Macaca mulatta: one gene and its partners. Each later gene encodes a partner of the first gene's protein in a complex. Links are inferred from orthologs where the notes say so. Each region holds a gene or a part of one and is shown in the gene's direction. Other genes may lie near its edges.

Region 1 (4,231 bases):
AGGCATGAGCCACCACGACCGGCTAATTTTGTATTTTTAGTAGAAACGGAGTTTCTCCATGTCGGTCAGGCTGGTCTCAAACTCCCAACCTCAGGTGATCTACCTGCCTCGGCCTCCCAAAGTGCTAGGATTACAGGCGTGAGCCACCGTGCCCGGCCGTTTACTCGTTCTTGTCTCCTCCATGCCAGACTCGACTCCATGAGGGCAAGGACTATTTCTGCCTCCCTCATTCCTATATTCCTAGGAGTTGGCAGTTCCTGACATTTAGTGGTGGATGAGGAATAAATGAAACCAGACACATCGACAGTGTCTGTAGTTCATGGCCCAATTTTTGTGTCTTGCTCCCCTTCCCTTTGCTTAGCCAACTCCTATGCATCCCTCAGTGCCCAACTGAAACCTCCCCTCTTCTCTGAGCCCTCAGAGCCCACTGTGCTTCTCCTGCTCCTTCCTGGGTTGTAGATTCCCATGTTATGAGTCTGTCTCCCCCACGACACTGTAACCCTCGAGAGGACACTGTAACCCTCGAGAGGACACTGTAACCCTCGAGAGGACACTGTAACCCTCCGTTGGGAGCTGGTTTGACAGATTCACCTTGCGGGGCCCCGAACCCAGGAGGTGCTCGAGTATTTCCGAAGTGGAGCAATGAATGGTTGCGCCGTGAGCATGCGCAGTTGTGTTACTGCCATGACTGGGGCGTGTGTGCATGCCTGGAACGGGGTAGGGGATCCTGCATCTCCCTACTGTTCTCTGCAGCCTCCTTCCCTTCCCCCCAGGAAGCCAGCCAGCCGCCCCCGCGACGTTACCCTTCTCCTGGGGCCTCAGAGCCCTGCCCATCTCGGGCAGCTTGGACTTGCAGAGACCCATCCAGCCAGCAGGCCTTGGGGTGGTCGCTCCCCGACCCCGCCCAGGCTCTGACCCCTCCTGGCTCCGCACAACGTCACAAGGGTCCCCGCCCCGGTCATTTTGCGACAATGACGGGGTCCATTCCTTCGGGGGAGGAAATGAACCCCAAACAGGCCCATGGGGAGCCAAGCAGCGGTTCGACCCAACCGGAGTAGGCCTCGGTTGCTATGGTGACGCGGCCTTCTTGGCCCTCCCCAACCCCGGTCCAGAGCGATATGGCGCATGCGCAAAGTGCCTGGGGGCCCGCAAGGAGGACTCTTCTCCCTCTCCCCACCCAGGATGCCCCGCGGTCCTTGGGTGTGACGTCACGAGGGAGGGCGGCCCCCCATTTGATGAAGTTAACTGTGTTGTATAAAAGAGCGCCAGCGACAGAGGCCGGTTAGTTTATCTCAGACTCGGCCTGGGTTTGCTGAGTCTAAGAAGGGACCGTGGTGGCCCTTTTGAGGTGACCATAGCCGCCGAGGAGCATAAGTGACTGCGCATTGAGGCGGCCACAGTGGCTAAGAAGGTTGCCATCGCGACGCGGCCGCTGGAGGGTTTCGCTTCCGGGTTAAGCGGCCGCAGAAGCGTAGACGGAGTAGCTGCAGCGCCTCTTCCGGTTACCTTTTCCCAGTGCCGGAGGCGCCTGGGGTTGGGGTCTTCGCTCAGGGACAGAGACCCGACAGCGAGCGGCGGCTTGCCCGGGATCGAGGGACGCGCACGCCAGAGGAGACGAAAGGAACCCGGGTCGGACCAGATCGGAACCACTGACCATAGCCCATGGCGGCCCTAGTGAGTGTGGATTTGGCGGGGTTCCGGGGTCCCGACGGCGACCTCGGCAACTCCTCACTCACCGTCCGGTTCCTCTTTCCGCAGGGCCCTAGCAGCCAGAATGTCACTGAATACGTCGTTCGAGTTCCCAAGTAAGTGTCCAGCCCCATCTCCCCCTCCTCTCCACCCTCCAAAAATGAAAACCTTCACGGTCTTCTTAGCCAGGCGTTTCTGGCCCTGTCTGTGATTCTCCCTCCAGACTGGGAGAGACTTGGAGGGCAGGGCTGGGATTAAGCTGAGGCTTCCCTGGAGACAACCCTGCTTTTTTAAACGAATGAATGAATGAGTGCATTAATAACACGGCGATCCAGCCCCCTGGCCTAACCTTCGATCCCATGATGCTCAGGCCAGCTGTAAAGAACATATTCCTCGTCCTGTTTCAAAATGGTCGGGCTATCTTTCCTTTCTAGGCTTTTGTACATCCTGTTCCCTCTGCCATGAGTGCCTCCCCTCAACCCCTAAACTGTGACTCTGCTGGGTGAATTCTTGTTGATTCTACAAAGCTCAGCTCCAGTATCTTCCTCCTCCAGGAAGCCCTCCATGCCTGTCCTCCCTCCTCCCCAAGGCTGAGTTCACAATAATCTCCACATCTTGGGTTCCCTCAAATCTTTGTCCCTCCATCTGCTCTTCTTCTGCCTGGGGTCAAGAGGGGATGGGTCTAGCTTCTCTGGCAGACTGGGAATCCTTGGAGTCTTCTGTATCCAGTGTTGCCAGGCAAAACAGGCTGAATGAATCGAATCGGGGTGGGTTTGTTGAGTGATTGAATTGAATAAATGATTCAATTGAATGGAATGATTGAATTGAATTGATGGTTCAATTGGATTGAGCGATTGAATTAATGATTTGATTGAATTAATGATCCAGTTGGATGGCTGATTGAATTAATGGTTCAATCGCATTAATTCATTAAATTAATGATTGAACTGCTGTATTGGATTGACACCACCTCTTTCTAATCCACTCCAGGAATACAACCAAAAAATATAATATCATGGCTTTTAATGCAGCCGATAAAGTCAACTTTGCTACGTGGAATCAGGTAAGTCCCTGGGTCCTGGGGGTTGGGAGCTGGGGTGGTGGGAGAACATGACCCTGACCTTGGTGATTGTAATAGTTGCTTAACTGTCATAGTAACTAAGTCTTAATTTTCTCACTTTTCTCAAAATGAAGAAAAGATAGATGACAAAGGATTGGGTGCAGTAGTTCACACCCCTGATCTCAGCACTTTAGGAGGCCGAGGCAGGAAGCTTGCTTAAGGCTAGGAGTTCAAAACCAGCCTGGGCAATGTAATAGCAAGACCCCAACTCTACAAAAAAATTAAAAAATTAGCTGGGGCTGGTAGTGTGGGTCTGTAGGCCTACATAGGAGGCTGAGGTAGGAGGATCGCTGGAGCCCAGGGGTTCAAGGCTGCAGTGAGCTATGATTGCATCACTGCACTCCAGCCTGGATAATAGAGCAAGACCCTGTCTCAAAAAAAAAAAAAAAAAAAAAAAGTCCGGGTGCCATGGCTCAAGCCTGTAATCCCAGCACTTTGGGAGGTCGAGGCGGGTGGATCACGAGGTCCGGAGATCGAGACCATCTTGGCTAACATGGTGAAACCCCGTCTTTACTAAAAAAATACAAAAAAGTAGCCGGGCGAGGTGGCGGGCGCCTGTAGTCCCAGCTACTTGGGAGGCTGAGGCAGGAGAATGGCGTGAACCTGGGAGGCGGAGCTTGCAGTGAGCTGAGATCCGGCCACTGCACTCCAGCCTGGGGGACAGGGCGAGACTCCATCTCAAAAAAAAAAAAAAAAGAATGACAAAGGCCCAGGTCAAGCTCCTGGGTGTCCCTGTAAGTTAGGTTTGGTAGGCCCACCGGAGGCCTCTCCTTAAAGGAGAACATTCAGAAGTTGTGCCCACCGATGGGCATTTTTGACCAGGGTTTATCTGGGCAAGGGAGGGGACTGGGCTGGGGGCTTTCCCAGAGCCCCTGCCATCAGAGGCTCTAGAAAGGAGTTTGGGAGCCATTAAAGTGTTTTCAACTGGGAGGTTGTAGTGTGATCTGGCTGTTGTGGGGAGACAGACTGTGGGTTTGAGGGCAGTTAAAGGGAGACCGGGTAGAAGCAACTGGTCTGGTCTAGGTGAGTCCTGGTGGGCACTGGGGGCAGTGGAGGTTATGAGATGTGGCTGATTCTAGAGTGTTTTGGAAATGGTATATATGGACCTTAAATCAAGAGCTTAAGGGTAATTTGGATCATATTAGCCACATAGGTCACGATAAATGGTAACATTTGTAGAGATTTTGGTGCCTTAATGTCAGCAAATGTTGCACAATGAGATTCTTTTTATTTATTTTATTTATTTATTTTTTGTGATGGAGTCTCTTGTTGTCCAGGCTGGAGTGCAATGGCACGACCTGGGCTCACTGCAATCTCCACCTCCCAGGTTCAAGCCATTCTTCTGCCTCAGCCTCCCAAGTACAGGTGCCTGCCACCACGCCCAGCTAATTTTTGTCTTTTTATGAAGTTTCGCCATGTTGG
Region 2 (3,512 bases), on another chromosome or scaffold:
CCTGATGGCAGACTCAGGGACCCGAGTGGGCACAGGAATGTGGATAACCCCACCCCACACACAAGTTCAGCAGCTCTGTGGGGCTCCTGGTTTAGGAGCAGTTCTTGACGTCAGCGTCAGCATCTGAGGTTTATAGTTTTCTTAGGAGCTTGCCTGTGTTAATCCTACTGATAATTTATAAAATCCTAAATCACATGACTTTTGCCCGTCTTTTTGCTTTTTGCCATTTCTTCCTTTCCATGAGCTCCAGAGCCTCCTCTTCTCAGCTCCTCTGAGCCTTTTTGACAGGGTGGCCCCTCCCTGCCCCTACGTAGAGACTTTTTTATATCCTTCTGTATTCTTTGGCGTTTCTTGCCCACTCTGTACGAGGAATTTCCCCATTTCCACCCGGAAGTCCGTCCCTGCTGTTGCAACGCATCAGGTGTGGCTTGTTCTCCCAAGGAGCCCTGGCGGTCGCAGCTTCAGCTTCAGCCGCTTCCTGGCTCACGGTGGCCGCCGCCTCCCAGTGCTTCGGTTTTTACATTTAGGGAGTCCACGCAGACTGTGAGGCCTATGCAAGCTGATGTTAACTAAGAAGAGACTCTGAAAGTACTTCAGAAACCTCCTTTTTGCTAGTTAGCGCCAGAGTGAGCAGATTGATCAGGGCTAAAGAGAATGAGAGGTGCTGTTAGTGACGTGTTAAGGGGAAAAGTCACCTGAAGGCAGAATGATAGGATCGAATGGGGACACACCCAGGATAGGCCCTAGTGGCGGGCACTGTGGTTTACATGGAGGTAGCTGTAGGTCCACTTAGAAATTCTGCATCGGCAGTAGGTCTGGTTTTTGTTTTTTTGTTTTTGAGATGGTCTAACTCTGTTGCCCAGACCTAAGTGCAGTAGTGTGGTCTCAGCTCCCCACAGCCTTGACTTCCTGGGCTCAAGCTATCCTCCCACTTCAGCCTTCTGAGTAGCTGGGACTACAGGTGCACACCACCACACCCGGCTAACTTCTGTATTTTTTGTAGAGACGGGGTCTTACCGTGTTGCTCAGGCTGGTCTCAGGCTCTGAGGCTCAAGCGGCCCTCCCAAAGCGCTGGAATTCCAGGCCTGAGCCACACAGCCCATCCCGGGCTGTTTTCAGAGTCAGCAAATTCTGGCCTTTAGGCTACACAGCCTGGTTTGTACAGGAAGTTTTATTGGAACATGGCCATGCCCACGCGGTCGGAGTTGGGTTTCATCCCTGTGGCCCTTCATGCCTGAAGTAGTGACTCTGGCGCTTTAAGAAACAGTTTGCGAACTCCGGCTTGAAGGAGAATCAGAAGCTGTGGAGAAGATGTTACTGAGGTTTAAATGTGACCCAAACAGAAAGGGCTTCGGGGCGGTTGGTGTCAGTTTCTGATGAACCTGCTGTCTGTTGGTTACATGTGGGTTAGAATCTTAAACTCTTTTCATTATTATTTTGTGTGAATTTTGCATTTTCACTTGTAGAAACCTCTTTCCGTGTGGAGACTCAATGGTTTGCATTATTGATGATCGAGAAGATGTCTGGAAGTTTGCCCCCAATCTGATAACTGTGAAGAAATACGTGTACTTCCAGGGCACAGGTGATATGAATGCGCCCCCTGGGTCCCGAGACTCTCAGACGAGAAAGAAAGGTGGGTAACCTCCTTCCTGATTCTCTAGAATTTACATTTGCTTATTGTTTAGCTCTTCTTATTTCTTATCTCTATTTTGACTGCTCTAAATTCAAGATACACTTTGATTTTTTATTTGTATTTCAATAGAGGTTATTGGATTTATGTATATAGTACTGGAAAACAGGATATTATGTCGTTTTGATTTGGGCTTTAAAAAAAATGGCCCTCACTTAAGCATTTTCCCAGTTGAATAAAAACTAAAGGATACTGTTTAACCTAACATGTGAATAACTCCTTTCATCCCAGTTTTCCTTAAACACACGCCTGGGCCTCGGGCCCTGGCATTCTGTAGAGAGAGCGAATGTGGGGGCAGTGGCTGTGTAGGGAAGAACCGTCCCCAGAGTGCAGTGTTCAGGCCTGGCGCTGGCTGGGCCCAGAGAGCAGCGTGGTTTAACCTGTCAGGCAGGCCTGCGGCTGACGTCCACCCTGTGAAAAGTTAAGTGTTTTTGACCCTTAGTTTTTAAAAAAAAATATTTTGAGGCGTACATTTGCTGCTCTAGTCACTAAAATGGAACTTGGAGGTTGAAACCAGAAGAGGGTGGGACTGGGGTCCCTCCTGTAGGAGGCCGAGGCTTTCACCAGATGGCTGGGGTCAGCGTGGAGTTGCTGACTTCCTCCAGACCGGGGCTTGGGAAACTGTGGCCATGGTGGCGCCAGGTCTGCAGCCTGGAGACCTCCAGTTGTTCTTATAGACGGAGGATCCTTCCTCCCCCAGATCCAGAGCTTTTTGAGTTGCCCACATGGTGCTTAAAGGAAATACTCATTGGAGCATTTTGGATTTTTCAGATTTGGGATGTTCAAGTGGTAAGTTTAACGCAAATACTCCAAACTCAGAAACACATTCAGTGTCCAAAACATCTGTGGCCCCATGCACTTCGGGTAAGGGGTGCTCACCCCGTCAGGCTCTTCACAGCAAGGTTGCCAAGGCCTGGTCTAGAGGGTGGCAGAGTTCACAGCCATGAAGAAGGGCGCTGCTTTAACTTGGAATGTTATTTAACGTTTAATGCTGAATCGCGGTAACTTTTCCTTTTGCATGCATATTTAGTAAATCATTCTTCTCGAGGCACCGAGATCTCAGAGCAAGCTCCGCCCGTGAGAGAGCCCGAGTGGGGAACGCAGGCCCCTGGAGTGGAGCCCAGCAATGGCCTGGAGAAGCCGGCTCAGGAGCTGAACGGCAGTGAGGCTACCGCCCCACAGGACTCGCCCCGCCCTGGGAAACCGGACGAGAGGGACACCTGGCCCGCTGCCCAGGCCCCCACCAGCAGTGGAGAGCTGGCAGGCACTCCTGAGCCCCAAGGATCCTGTGTGCAGGGTGGCCGGGCGGCACCGGGACAGCGGCCTGCCCAGGGTGCCACGGGCACTGACCTGGACTTCGACTTATCCAGCGACAGCGAGAGCAGCAGTGAGTCCGAGGGCACGAAGTCTCCCTCCTCCGCCTCTGACGGCGAAAGTGAGGGGGGGAGAAGCCGGCAGAAGCCAAAGGAGGAGGAGAACCCGGCTCCAGAGGGAGCCGGGGCGCTGGCTCAGGGCAGTTCCCTGGAGCCGGGGCGGCCTGCAGCACTGAGTCTCCCCGGAGAGGCCGAGCCCGGCACGCATGCCCCAGACAAGGGGCCCGAGCTGGGTGGGCAGGAGGAGGGCGAGCGGGACGGCCTCTGCGGCCTGGGCAATGGCTGTGCCGACAGGAAGGAGGCGGAGACCGAGTCACAGAACAGCGAGCTGTCAGGCGTCACCGCGGGCGAGTCCCTGGACCAGAGTGTGGAGGAGGAGGAGGAGGAGGACACGGACGAGGATGACCACCTCATCTACCTGGAGGAGATCCTGGTCCGTGTGCACACCG
Region 3 (4,018 bases), on another chromosome or scaffold:
AAAATTTCCTCAATTTTGTGCAAGGCTCTGATGTGTGATTCAATACATTACTTGCCCTTCTTAACAATACCTTACTGTTTGTTTCTCTTCAGCGAATGTTCTTTCACCCAAAGCCTGCTGAAACCTGACAATGTGTCAAACACTGTGCTATACATTGTGGATATAACATGAATAAAGCACCATTTTTTATTTGTAAATTATACCTCAATAAAGCTCTTTCTGCCTAGGAGGAGTTCGTTGTCTGGAAAGCAAAGGCAGATATGTAAACATATGTATTATAGTGCAGAGTGCTAAGTATCACACTGTGATGTGAAGAAAAACTAATTTCTTCTGGGGAAGTTGATAAAAGATCTCATAAGAAGTGACATTTCCATTGGTCTTGAACCATAAGTAGGAGTTTGCCAACCAGAGGAAAGAGTGGGAGTGAGGGCAGGGGTAAAAGAGGGCTTCCAAGGAAGGGAATCCAGTGTGCAGAGGCTCTGAAATGACCGAGGAAGATTCTGACGTGTTCCGGGAAGTCTGCTGGGTTTGGTGCGGTTCGGTGCATGGTGGAGTAATGGTGGGAGGGGAAAACGGATGAAATTAAGAGGGCCCAGTTGAAGCAGGAGGATTGAATTTTATTCTAGAGGCAAGAAGAGAAAGAGAAAACTTTAAGCAGGGGAGGAAACGATCAGTTTTGTCTCTTACTTGTTCGTTTCGTCACAGACCTTCGGGTTTTGGAATATGAGGTGCTCTGCTTGCTTAATCAGAGGAGCTCGGGCAGCCTCTGAGCTGAAACACGGCTTTCTTTTCAGGTCTAGAAACGGCATGTTTTCAATATACCCAGGGCTACCAAGTCTGATCCCAGTGCCCACTTGTGCTAATGACGTTGGCCAGGGGGGATGCCAATTTACTAACCTAAGCCTGTCCTTCAAATATTCTTTCTCTCTCTTTGGCTAGGGTTGGACACGTTCTGACAACTTTTGTCTCTTTGAACCCCGTTTTTCCGTTCTGATAATCTTTTTCTTCAGTTATGCTGGCCATGTCTTTAAATACGTTGCTAACGTTTTGGCTCATCTTACCCTATGTTTTAATCCCTCAGATACACACTACGCTGACAGCCACGCCCACCCAAGGAATTTCCGAAACAGAAAGTTTGTCTGCAACAGCGCGCCGTACGAACGTACAGTGCGCAGGCGCAGTCTGGCTACCGGCGGCGTGTTCCTCTTTCCCCCCGGTTTCCAGTGTCCTGGCAGGTAAGGAACGCCGCCTCTTCACCTCTCAGCGCGGCTTGCCCTTTGTTCCGGACGCCCACTTCTCAGCCCTCCGGCTCCTGGTGTCGCTGCTGTAGGCCACACGCGTCCACCGGCAACAGACCCATGGCCGAGCGCGGGGAACTCGACCTGACCGGCGCCAAACAGAACACAGGAGTGTGGCTAGTCAAGGTAATGTTCACGAGTCTCCCACTTGCGCTCCTCCTAACACAAGTATAATTTAAGTAACTTGAGCCCATCCCGCTCCGTGCACCTCTTAAAGTTCTTTTACGGCTATCTCGTTAGAGCTTCACATATTTTGAGAGGCAGGAGTCATTGTTGTATCTGTTTGCAGATGAGGAGATTAGTTTAGGGACGCAAAGTGTCTTTCAGCCGGTTACTGGTCTGAATCAGCCTGGACTAGATCTCTTTCTCACGGCTTTCCTGGAGCCCTGTCTTGGTGTTCCTAGACTTGGGCGGTGCATTTTATCCCAGACCGAAGAATTACTTGTATCTTTCCCTTGGTGAAACTGGTTTTAGCCATGAGCCTGTGTGAGGTAGTTGAATGTCTGCTTTCTGTACAGTTTTTTCGGCGAGAAACTAGAACTGGTCCCTGCGTACTCTTATTCTCTTAGGTAAATGGTCCTTAATGAAGCTCTCAAAAGAGGCGAGAGAGCCCTGAACAAACAGAAGGAGAGGTCAGGAGAGGTCATTGGACTGGAGTATTCTTTCAGAGCACATTTGGGTCTGATGAAACTGGCCGTCAATAAATGTTTTATGTAAAGACAGCAATTTTGGTTGGCTCACAGCGGGCACTATTTGTGCTTTACTGTTTCATGTTGGGAAGTGTTTTCTCCTAGGGGAGTTTCATAATACTTAAGCAAATTCAAAATGTGATCCTGAAAGTCGTTGAGACTTAAAATGTAAGGACTTTCGGTTTCTTAATGCTTTAACTGATTTATCATATGGCTGAGTTCTCGTCAATTAAATCTAAGAGGTCTTTCTTGTCGGCCTTCTTAAAAATGGCTCCCTTATGATCATTTGCTAACACGACAGATCCGTATTACATTCTTTCTTTTCTTTTTTTCTTTTTTTTTTTTTTTGAATCAGAGTCTTGCTCTGTCGCCCAATCTGGAGTGCAGTAGTGCGATCTTGGCTCACTGCAAGCTCCGCCTCCCAGGTTCACGCCATTCTCCTCTCTCAGCCTCCCGAATAACTGGGACTACAGGCACTCGCCCCCACGCCCGGCTAATTTTTTGTATTTTTAGTAGAGACAGGGTTTCACCGTGTTAGCCAGGATGGTCTCGATCTCCTGACCTCGTGATCCGCCCGCCTTGGCCTCCCAAAGTGCTGGGATTACAGGCGTGAGCCACCGCACCTGGCCGTTACATTCTTCAAAGCACTTTTCACAGTGTAGAGTGATTTTGTGTTAATATGTTCAAAGTTGGTTACCTCCGTCTTTCCAACACACAAAATCACATTCCATGAGATTGGATCTTTGCCTGTCATACCCAGAATAGTGTTTGGCACATGGTAATTACTCAACAAAAAGGTGATGAATAAATGCATGACCTCTCATTCTTTAACCCTCGCCTTAATCTGTGGCACTGATTTGACTTATTTCCAAGCTCAGTGTGACTTAAAAGGATGAATTAAATAGGCATTTCTCTCTCCAGCAGCGTGTTAATTGGAGGAGAGTCACTAAGGAGGAGATGGCCCTTGCAGACTGAAGGAAAAAGCTTGAAAAAATGGTGTGACTTGAGATGGTGCCATTGTTCTAGGAGCATGGTAAATGCTCAGTGTTTACGCCTTACAGGATTTGGGTGGGTGGACATAGCATATACCATGGGGAATGGAACAGAAATGCAAGACTCAAAATACATAATCAGCATGGTGTGTCGTGGAAAACAGAGAGAACCTAGAGCAGAAGATCTGTGTAGATAAAGGTTGGGACCATATACTCAGATTGTCATATCATGAAACGGAGATGTTCTAACTTTAGTTTACAAGGAAGTAACAAACTTTTTGGAGGATTTGAGTGAGGGAGAGATGCCAAATATTTATTCAGAAAAAAAAAAGTTTGGCAGTGTGCAGTACGAATTAGAGGGGAGGGTAAGTAACCAGAGTCACATTTAGAAAATCATCACAGGATTGGGCCGGGCACGGTGGCTCACACCTGTAATCCCAACACTTTGAGAGGCCGAGACAGGTGGATCATGAGGTCAATAGTTTGAGACTAGCCTGGCCAGTATGGTGAAATCCCATCTCTACTAAAAATACCAAAATTAGCCGGTTATGGTGGCATGCGCCTGTATTCCCAGCTACTCAGGAGACTAAGGCAGAAGAATTGCTTGAAACTGGGAGGCGGAGGTTGCAGTGAGCTGAGATTGCTCCGTTGCACTCCAGCCTGGGCAACAGAACAAAAACTCCATCTCAGAAAAAAAAAAAAAAAGAAGTAGTAACTTGTTGCTTAGAAAGTGTGTCTTCATTCTCATCTCATCAGAATTTTATTTGAACTACGTATTGATTTCAAGTTTTTTCTCCTTACATTAATATTTTCTGTTAAAAATAATACCTTGAGTTCTGATCTTTGTTGCTGAAAAATGTTTCTTCCTAGGATATATCAAGGTCATCTTGTACATATTTAATTCCATCACCAGTTACAGAACTGTGTAAATGCAGTAAGGACTGTACATACAAGATCTCTTAGAGTTTTGAGCAGGAAAAAAATTAATGCTTCACCAGAACTGGAAAGACATCATAGAGAAGGTGATGTTTAAGAAGAG
Region 4 (3,948 bases), on another chromosome or scaffold:
AATAGCTTTTAAATTTTTTCTTTCTCTCTCTCTCTTTCTTTCGTTCTTTCTTAGTGTTGCTCTGTTGCCAGGCTGGAGTGCAGTGGCGCGATCTCAGCTCACCGCAGCCTCCGCCCCCCGGGTTCAAGCGATTTTCCTGCCTCAGCCTCCTGAGTACCGGCTAATTTTTTGTATTTTTAGTAGAGTCGAGGTTTCGCCGTGTTAGCAAGGATGGTCTCAATCTCCTGACCCCATGATCTGCCCGCCTCCGCCTTCCAAAGTGCTGGGATTACAGGCGTAAACCACTGCGCCCAGCCTAAATTTCATTATTTTCTGTAGCTTCCTGGCCTTTCGACTAAGGCTCATGTAAATTTTTTGTTATTTCTACACCAATTTCTGTAGATTATTATGAGAATTAAGGGAGATAATTATATAAAGGGCTTAACACAGTGTCTGGCATTTAGGAAGAAAGCAGTAAGTGGTAGCTATTATTTATTATTATTTTTTGTGATGGAGTTTCGCTTTTGTTGCCCAGGCTGGAGTGCAGTGGCCTCCCAGGTTCAAGCAATTCAGAGAGTTGCTGGCCGGGCACAGTGGCTCACGCCTGTAATTCCAGCACTTTTGGAGGCCGAGGTGGGTGGATCACCTAAGGTTGGGAGTTTGAGACTAGCCTGACCAACATGGAGAAACCCCATCTCTACTAAAAACACAAAATTGGCCGGGCGCTGTGACTCACGCCTGTAATTCCAGCACTTTGGGAGGCTGAGGAGGGCGGATCACAAGGTCAGGATATCAAGACCAGCCTGGCTAACCCGGTGAAACCCCGTCACTACTAAAAATACAAAAAATTAGCCGGGCGCGGTGGTGGGCGCCTGTAGTCCCAACTACTGGGGAGGCTGAGGCAGGAGAATGGCCCGAACCCGGGAGGCGGAGCTTGCAGTGAGCCGAGATCGCGCCACTGCACTCCAGCCTGGGAGACGGAGCCAGATCCGTCTCAAAACAAAAAAAAGAGAGTTGTGGTTTGATGGCCGGTGGGGGGGCGGGGCGGTGGTGAGGGGCGGGGCTTAGTGGTTCACGCCCACGGCTACAAGGCCCAATCAGACCCGTGGAGCAGGTGGAGTTCCGCCCTCGCGGAGGAGGTGGAGTTCCGCTCTCAACGTCGCAGCAGGCGCGGAACTGGGGTTGCGGCGGCTAAGTGTGTTTCCGGTAGATTCCCAGGGGCGGTCGGAGGTGTGGACTGTTCCTGCCTTCATGCTCTGGGAAGATGTTCTACCATGTGAGCAGGGCCCAGGGTGGCGGCAAGGGCTGGGTGGAAAGGAGGAGCAAGGCCAGGCGCCGGCGCGAGGCTCCCCTTGTCGTCTGATAAGCTCCCAGCGCGTGGCCTGGTCGCCATCCCTCTTTTCTCCGCAGATCTCCCTAGAGCACGAAATCCTGCTGCACCCGCGCTACTTCGGCCCCAACTTGCTCAACACGGTGAAGCAGAAGCTCTTCACCGAAGTGGAGGGGACCTGCACAGGGAAGTGAGTGCCGAGCTCACCGCGCCGCCAGATCGTTCGATGCGCACACGGGTCGCTATACCTGCAAACCATCCGCAACTCCTATTAGTCCTGCCACCCACTCTAGGGACCCCGCTCACCCTCTCAGGCAGCCAGTTGCTTCCTGCTTTGGGTTCCCAGGGCGCCCTCTGCAATGCTGGACAATAAGACTTCCTTCCCTCAGCTGAGATTGGTCATTCATTCATTTACTCCTCAGACATTTTAAAAACACTTGGTGTGTGCCAGGACCCGTGTTGGGCTCAGAACAAGGTAGAATGGGAACAAGATAGAATGAGGCCAGCTCTTGTGGAGCTCACAGTGTAGTCATTGTTCCTGTGTCTCCTCTCACTCTGTCATTCTGCTGGTTTTCTCTTATCCCCTGTGTCCAGGGACCACACACCGTGGGCCTCTATATATCTTCTGAATGGATGACCAGAAAAAGTGGATCGAAAGTTTGGGGGAGGAAGGAAGTAGACTGGGACTTGACCATCTCTGGGCTTTGCACTGAGGGCCTTCTGTGATATTAATGAGCTGGGACCCAGCCCAGGGCAGTGGAGTACTTGGGCCTCCAGCATCAGAAAAACCTGCAGGAACATGCAGATTCCTGAGCCTCCTTATTCCCTACAGAATCAAGACTCTGTGAGGCAGACCTGAGAATCTGCATTTTAAGAAGATGATTCTCAGGCATCCCGAAGATTGAGATCTGTTTCCTCAAGGACTCCAGCCTTCTTGTACATTTACTGTGAAATTACCAGAACAGCATTTGGTCTTATACATACTGATCTGTGTTCTTTTTTTTTTTTTTTTTTTTATGAGACGGAGTCTCGCTCTGTCGCCCAGGCTGGAGTGCAGTGGCCTGATCTCAGCTCACCGCAAGCTCCGCCTCCCGGGTTCAGGCCATTCTCCTGCCTCAGCCTCCCGAGTAGCTGGGACTACAGGCGCCCGCCACCTCGCCTGGCTAGTTTTTTGTATTTTTTAGTAGAGACGGGGTTTCACCGGGTTAGCCAGGATGGTCTCGATCTCCTGACCTCGTGATCCGCCCGTCTCGGCCTCCCAAAGTGCTGGGATTACAGGCTTGAGCCACCGCGCCCGGCCCATACTGATCTGTGTTCTGTCTTCTCTTGGTCATTAAGCTCTCTGGGAGCAGAGGTGCTATCTACTTGTCCTTTTGCTCTCCCCGACACTACTCCCAAGAGCTCAGTGACTTTTATTGCAGATGTCTCTAGAGGCTCTTGGACACACAATGTCTTTCTGTTTCTCATCCTCCTTGCAGGTATGGCTTTGTAATTGCTGTCACCACCATTGACAATATTGGTGCTGGTGTGATCCAGCCAGGCCGAGGCTTTGTCCTTTATCCAGTTAAGTACAAGGCCATTGTTTTCCGGCCCTTTAAAGGGGAGGTCGTGGATGCTGTTGTAACTCAGGTCAACAAGGTGAGACCATACGTAGGGGAGGCATTGGGGTAGTCTCTCAGTAGATCTGGGTTGGGTCCTGGCTCCACTTCATAACTGTGCCTTCAGCTAAGTCACTTTACTTCTTTTTTTTTTTTTTGAGATGGAGTGTTGCTCTGTCGCCCAGGCTGGAGTGCAGTGGTGCCATCTTGGCTCACTGAAACCTCTGCCTTCTGGGTTCCAGTGAGTCTCTTGCCTCGGCCTCCCAAGTAGTTGGGACTAAAGGCAGGTGCCACCATGGCCGGCTAAGTTTTTGTATTTTTTTTAGTAGAGATAGGGTTTTGCCATGTTGCCCAGGCTGATCTCGAACTCCTGAGCTCAATCTGCCTACCTCGGCCTCCCAAAGCGCTAGGATTACAGGTGTGAGCTACCACGCCTGGCCATCACTTTACTTCTTGTGCTGCACTTTCAAATTGTATGGTAATCTTCCCTGCCCAACTCAGAGGGCAAGAGTCAACATTAATAGTCATAACAATAAAAGCCTGTGTTGATTGAGTAGTGACTGTGGGCCAGGTGAAGTGCAGAGACTCACAATGACTAAAAGGTGGGTGCTTTCCTTTTTTTTTTTTTTTTTTTAAGATGGAGTTTAGCTCTGTCGCCAGACTGGAGTGCAGTGGCACAATCTTGGCTCACTACAACCTCCGCCTCTGGGTTCAAGTGATTCTCCTGCCTCAGCCTCCCAGGTAGCTGGGACTATAGGCATGCGCCACCACGCTCAGCTAATTTTTGTATTTTTAGTAGAGATGAGGTTTCTCCATGTTGGTCAGGCTGGTCTCAAACTCCCGACCTCAGGTGATCTGCCTGCCTCAGCCACCGAAAGTGCTGGGATTGTAGGCGTGAGCCACTGCCCCCGGCCAGTGGGTGCTTTTTACAGAAGCTGAAGCTTAGAAGAAGTTAAGTGTATTGGCCAAGATCATGTGGCCAACAGGTGTTCAAATCTTGGACTAACAGGCCTAAGCTCTTTAATACTTTAAAATGAAAGG
Region 5 (3,512 bases), about 51 Mb from region 1:
ACACCACTGCACTCCAGCCTGGGCAACGGAGCGAGACTCTGTCTCAAAAAAAAAAAAAAAAAAAAAAAAATTTCTCATGGTAGGCCGGGTGCGGTGGTTCACATCTATAGTCCCAGCACTTTGGGAGTCTGAGGTGGGCAGATCATTTGAGGTCAGGAGTTCGAGACCATCCTGGCCAACACGGCAAAACCCCATTTCTTTTTTTTTTTTTTTTTTTTTTTTTTGAGACAGAGTCTCGCTCTGTCGCCCAGGCTGGAGTGCAGTGGCTGGATCTCAGCTCACTGCAAGCTCCGCCTCCCGGGTTCACGCCATTCTCCTGCCTCAGCCTCCCGAGTAGCTGGGACTATACGCGCCCGCCACCACGCCCGGCTAGTTTTTTTTTTTGTATTTTTTAGTAGAGACGGGGTTTCACCGTGTTAGCCAGGATGGTCTCGATCTCCTGACCTCGTGATCCACCCGTCTCGGCCTCCCAAAGTGCTGGGATTACAGGCATGAGCCACCGCGCCCGGCGCAAAACCCCATTTCTACTAAAAATACAGAAATTAGCCAGGGGTGGTGGCGTACATGTCGGTAATCCCAGTCGCTTGTACACGGGAGGCAGAGGTTGCAGTGAGCTGAGGTCACACTACTGCACTCCAGCCTGGGGGACAGAGTGAGACTGTCTTAAAAAAAAAAAAAAAATTGTCATGATATTTATATACATAATATATGACAAATACAATGTTAATTGTTATTAAATTATGCTATAAAACCATTGTACTTGGCTGGGCATGGTGGCTCACGCCTATAATCCCAGCACTTTGGAAGGCTGATGTTTCACCATGTTGGTCAGGCTGGTCTCTAACTCCTGATCTCGTGATCCGCCCACCTTGGCCTCCCAAAGTGCTGGGATTGCAGGCATGAGCCATCGTGCCCAGCCTTAGTTATTTTTTTTGAGATGGAGTTTCACTCTTGTTGCCCAGGCTAGAGTGCAGTGGCGTGATCTCGGTTCACCACAACCTCCACCTCTCAGGTACAAGCGATTCTTCTGCCTCAGCTTCCTGAGTAGCTGGGATTACAGGCGCACTCCACCACGCCCAGCTAGTTTTTTGTATTTTTAATAGAGATGGGTTTCATCATGTTGGCCAGGCTGATCTCAAACTCCCACACTGGGCCCACAGACTATGCATCACATTATTTGTAAGAATATATGAGAAATAATATATCTAGTGGATGACAAAGAGCACAGGCCTCGGTGACTGATGAAAGGGGAAATGGAGAGGGAAGGGCTGGCTGCCTTGGAGCTTTCCCTTTGGTGTAGGAGAAGGATTTGTTCTTGGGAAAGATAGCCTTAGGCTGTGATGGTACCTTAGAGGGTACAGAGCAGGTCAGGGGTGAGGGGAGTCCCAGACTCTGCAGCACCTCCTTTGATTCTTAGGCCCTGCCAGAGTTCCATGTGTTTTGGCATTTCCAAGGATGAAGTAATTATCCTCAATCTATATGCTAAAGATTTTTCAAGGCTTACTGTTTTAAAATATTAGTTTTGGTTGGCTGGGCACAGTGACTCAGCCTGTAATCCCAGCACTTTGGGAGGCTGAGGTGGGAGGATTGCTTGAGGCCAGGAGTTTGAGACCAGCCTGGGCAACATAGCAAGACCTCATCTTGACTAAAAAGACAAAAATTAGCCAGGCATGGTGGTGCACACCTGTGGCCTCAGCTACTCGGGAGGCTGAAGGGGGAAGGATCAGTTGAGTCTGGGAGGTCAAGGATGTAGTAAGCTGTGATTGCGCCACTGCATTCCAGCCTGAGTAGCAGAGGGACCTGTCTCCAAAAATATATATGTATAACTTGTAAGAATGTAACAATTTTACTACTCTCTTTTTTTTTTTTGAGAGGGAGTCTTACTCTGTCGCCCAGGGTGGAGTACAGTGGCATGATCTCGGCTCACTGCAACCTCTGTCTCCTGGGTTCAAGCAATTCTCCTGCCTCAGCCTCCCGAGTAGCTGGGATTCCAGGTGTGCACCACCATGCCTGGCTCATTTTTGTATTTTTATTTTTATTTTTTTTTTTGTGATGGAGTCTCGCTCTATCGCCCAGGCTGGAATGCTGTGGGGTGATCTCGGCTCAGTGCAAACTCCGCCTCCCGGGTACAAGCGATTCTCCTGCCTCGGCCTCCCGAGTAGCTGGGATTACAGGCACGTGCCACCATGCTTGGCTAATGTATTTTTAGTGGAGACAGGGTTTCATCATGTTGGCCAGGCTGGTCTAAAACTCCTGACCTCAGGTAATCCTCCCACCTCGACCTCCCAAAGTGCTAGGATTACAGGCGTGAACCATCGCGCCCGGCTAATTTTTAGTAGAGATGGAGTTTCACCATGTTGGCCAAGCTGGTCTCGAACTCCTGACCTCGTGATCTCCCTACCTCGGCCTCACCAAGTGCTGGGATTACAGGCGTGAGCCACCACACCCAGTCCAGTTTTACTACTCTTATATCCCTGCATTAAGTTCCCATGTGTCTTAACTAATAGTGCAACAGACTGAGGTTCAAGTTGTCCAAAACCCCAGCCAACTGGGAGGTGTGGAGACCTGCGTTTGAAGAGTGGTTGGGTTTCCACCCTGTCTGGGTGCTAAGATGCCCCACACCCCCAGGTGACACCCCTGCGCTTTGGGAAGGATGTCGATGGGAAATGCCACAGCCTCACAGCCTCCTATGTGCGGGCGCAGTACCAGCATGACACCAGCCTGCCCCACTGTCGCTTCTATGAGGTGCCTGGAGGGCAGGGCTGAGGGAGGGAGGCTGGATGGGTGGCCTGGGGCAGGCAGCCTCCCTGACCCCTGGCACTCTTGTCCCAGGAATTTGATGCCCATGGGCGCGAGGTGCCCCTCCCCGCTGGCATCTACAACCTGGATGACCTGAAGGCCCTGGGGCGGCGCCAGGGCTGGTGCCCATACTTCCTTGCTCGATACTCAGTGAGAAGGCTGGTGGGACGGGCAGAGGGGCGAGTGTGAGGCTGTGGGCTGCCTGCCCGTCTCCTGTCTGCCCATGCCTGTCTGTTGCTTGCTGTGAGTCTGCCTGTCTGCATCTCCCTGTTGATGGGTGCCCATGTCTGTCGGTCTGTCTCTATCCATCTGCTCATATTTCTGCCTGGCCGGTGTCTGCCTCTGCAGGCCTGTGTGGGAATGATGGGCCAGTGTGGCCAGCGCCGCCCGGGAGACGGACGCCCACCTGGCCAGGGGTAGGGGGGTAGGGGTTGGGGTGACAGGGCCCTGGTGACCCTGCTCCCTGGCCCCCCAGATCCTGCATGCCAACGTGGTGGTTTATAGCTACCACTACCTCCTGGACCCCAAGATTGCAGACCTGGTGTCCAAGGAACTGGCCCGCAAGGCCGTCGTGGTCTTCGACGAGGCCCACAACATTGGTGAGGGGAGCGCCAGGGGCCAAAGGGACGCCAGCCCCTCTGAGGGAGGCCCCTGCAGGCCTGCCTGAGCCGGCTCTCTCCCTCTTCTCCAGACAACGTCTGCATCGACTCCAT

The links.
Region 2: the proteins of GTF2F1 (region 1) and CTDP1 are in contact, whole or in part, in an NMR structure (PDB 1ONV), measured with the Homo sapiens proteins. The link is inferred for Macaca mulatta from reciprocal best matches to the Homo sapiens genes GTF2F1 and CTDP1. Residues at the interface, in NP_002087.2 of Homo sapiens: Thr470, Lys471, Leu474, Gln478, Ser486, Thr489, Val490, Leu493, Ala494, Leu497, Lys498, Leu500, Asn501, Pro502, Arg504, Met511, Phe513; in NP_004706.3 of Homo sapiens: Ala946, Asp947, Met949, Ala950, Lys951, Ala952, Leu953, Glu954, Glu956, Leu957, Asp959, Leu960, Met961.
Region 3: GTF2F1 (region 1) and GTF2F2 share a complex: the UniProt entries of both Homo sapiens proteins name them as parts of the TBP-based Pol II pre-initiation complex. The link is inferred for Macaca mulatta from reciprocal best matches to the Homo sapiens genes GTF2F1 and GTF2F2.
Region 4: GTF2F1 (region 1) and POLR2G share a complex: the UniProt entries of both Homo sapiens proteins name them as parts of the TBP-based Pol II pre-initiation complex. The link is inferred for Macaca mulatta from reciprocal best matches to the Homo sapiens genes GTF2F1 and POLR2G.
Region 5: GTF2F1 (region 1) and ERCC2 share a complex: the UniProt entries of both Homo sapiens proteins name them as parts of the TBP-based Pol II pre-initiation complex. The link is inferred for Macaca mulatta from reciprocal best matches to the Homo sapiens genes GTF2F1 and ERCC2.

Annotation. Positions count from the first base shown.
Region 1 is NC_133424.1:7,269,504-7,273,734, reverse strand, and holds the start of GTF2F1 (general transcription factor IIF subunit 1), read left to right. Parts: upstream 1-1,420; 5' UTR 1,421-1,662; coding exon 1,663-1,674; exon of another isoform or gene 1,675-1,739; intron 1,740-1,758; coding exon 1,759-1,805; intron 1,806-2,679; coding exon 2,680-2,752; intron 2,753-4,231. Other genes in the region: adenylate kinase isoenzyme 1, read right to left, coding at 804-987, 1,354-1,419. UniProt on the Homo sapiens protein: TFIIF is a general transcription initiation factor that binds to RNA polymerase II and helps to recruit it to the initiation complex in collaboration with TFIIB. It promotes transcription elongation.
Region 2 is NC_133423.1:1,268,916-1,272,427, reverse strand, and holds part of CTDP1 (RNA polymerase II subunit A C-terminal domain phosphatase), read left to right. Parts: intron 1-1,466; coding exon 1,467-1,633; intron 1,634-2,720; coding exon 2,721-3,512. UniProt on the Homo sapiens protein: Processively dephosphorylates 'Ser-2' and 'Ser-5' of the heptad repeats YSPTSPS in the C-terminal domain of the largest RNA polymerase II subunit. This promotes the activity of RNA polymerase II.
Region 3 is NC_133422.1:24,430,845-24,434,862, forward strand, and holds the start of GTF2F2 (general transcription factor IIF subunit 2), read left to right. Parts: upstream 1-1,211; 5' UTR 1,212-1,358; coding exon 1,359-1,424; intron 1,425-4,018. UniProt on the Homo sapiens protein: TFIIF is a general transcription initiation factor that binds to RNA polymerase II and helps to recruit it to the initiation complex in collaboration with TFIIB.
Region 4 is NC_133419.1:11,297,801-11,301,748, reverse strand, and holds the start of POLR2G (DNA-directed RNA polymerase II subunit RPB7), read left to right. Parts: upstream 1-1,139; 5' UTR 1,140-1,230; coding exon of another isoform or gene 1,231-1,243; coding exon 1,244-1,255; coding exon of another isoform or gene 1,256-1,389; coding exon 1,390-1,499; intron 1,500-2,787; coding exon 2,788-2,947; intron 2,948-3,948. UniProt on the Homo sapiens protein: Core component of RNA polymerase II (Pol II), a DNA-dependent RNA polymerase which synthesizes mRNA precursors and many functional non-coding RNAs using the four ribonucleoside triphosphates as substrates.
Region 5 is NC_133424.1:57,886,737-57,890,248, reverse strand, and holds part of ERCC2 (general transcription and DNA repair factor IIH helicase subunit XPD), read left to right. Parts: intron 1-2,628; coding exon 2,629-2,745; intron 2,746-2,832; coding exon 2,833-2,949; intron 2,950-3,274; coding exon 3,275-3,398; intron 3,399-3,490; coding exon 3,491-3,512. UniProt on the Homo sapiens protein: ATP-dependent 5'-3' DNA helicase. Component of the general transcription and DNA repair factor IIH (TFIIH) core complex, not absolutely essential for minimal transcription in vitro.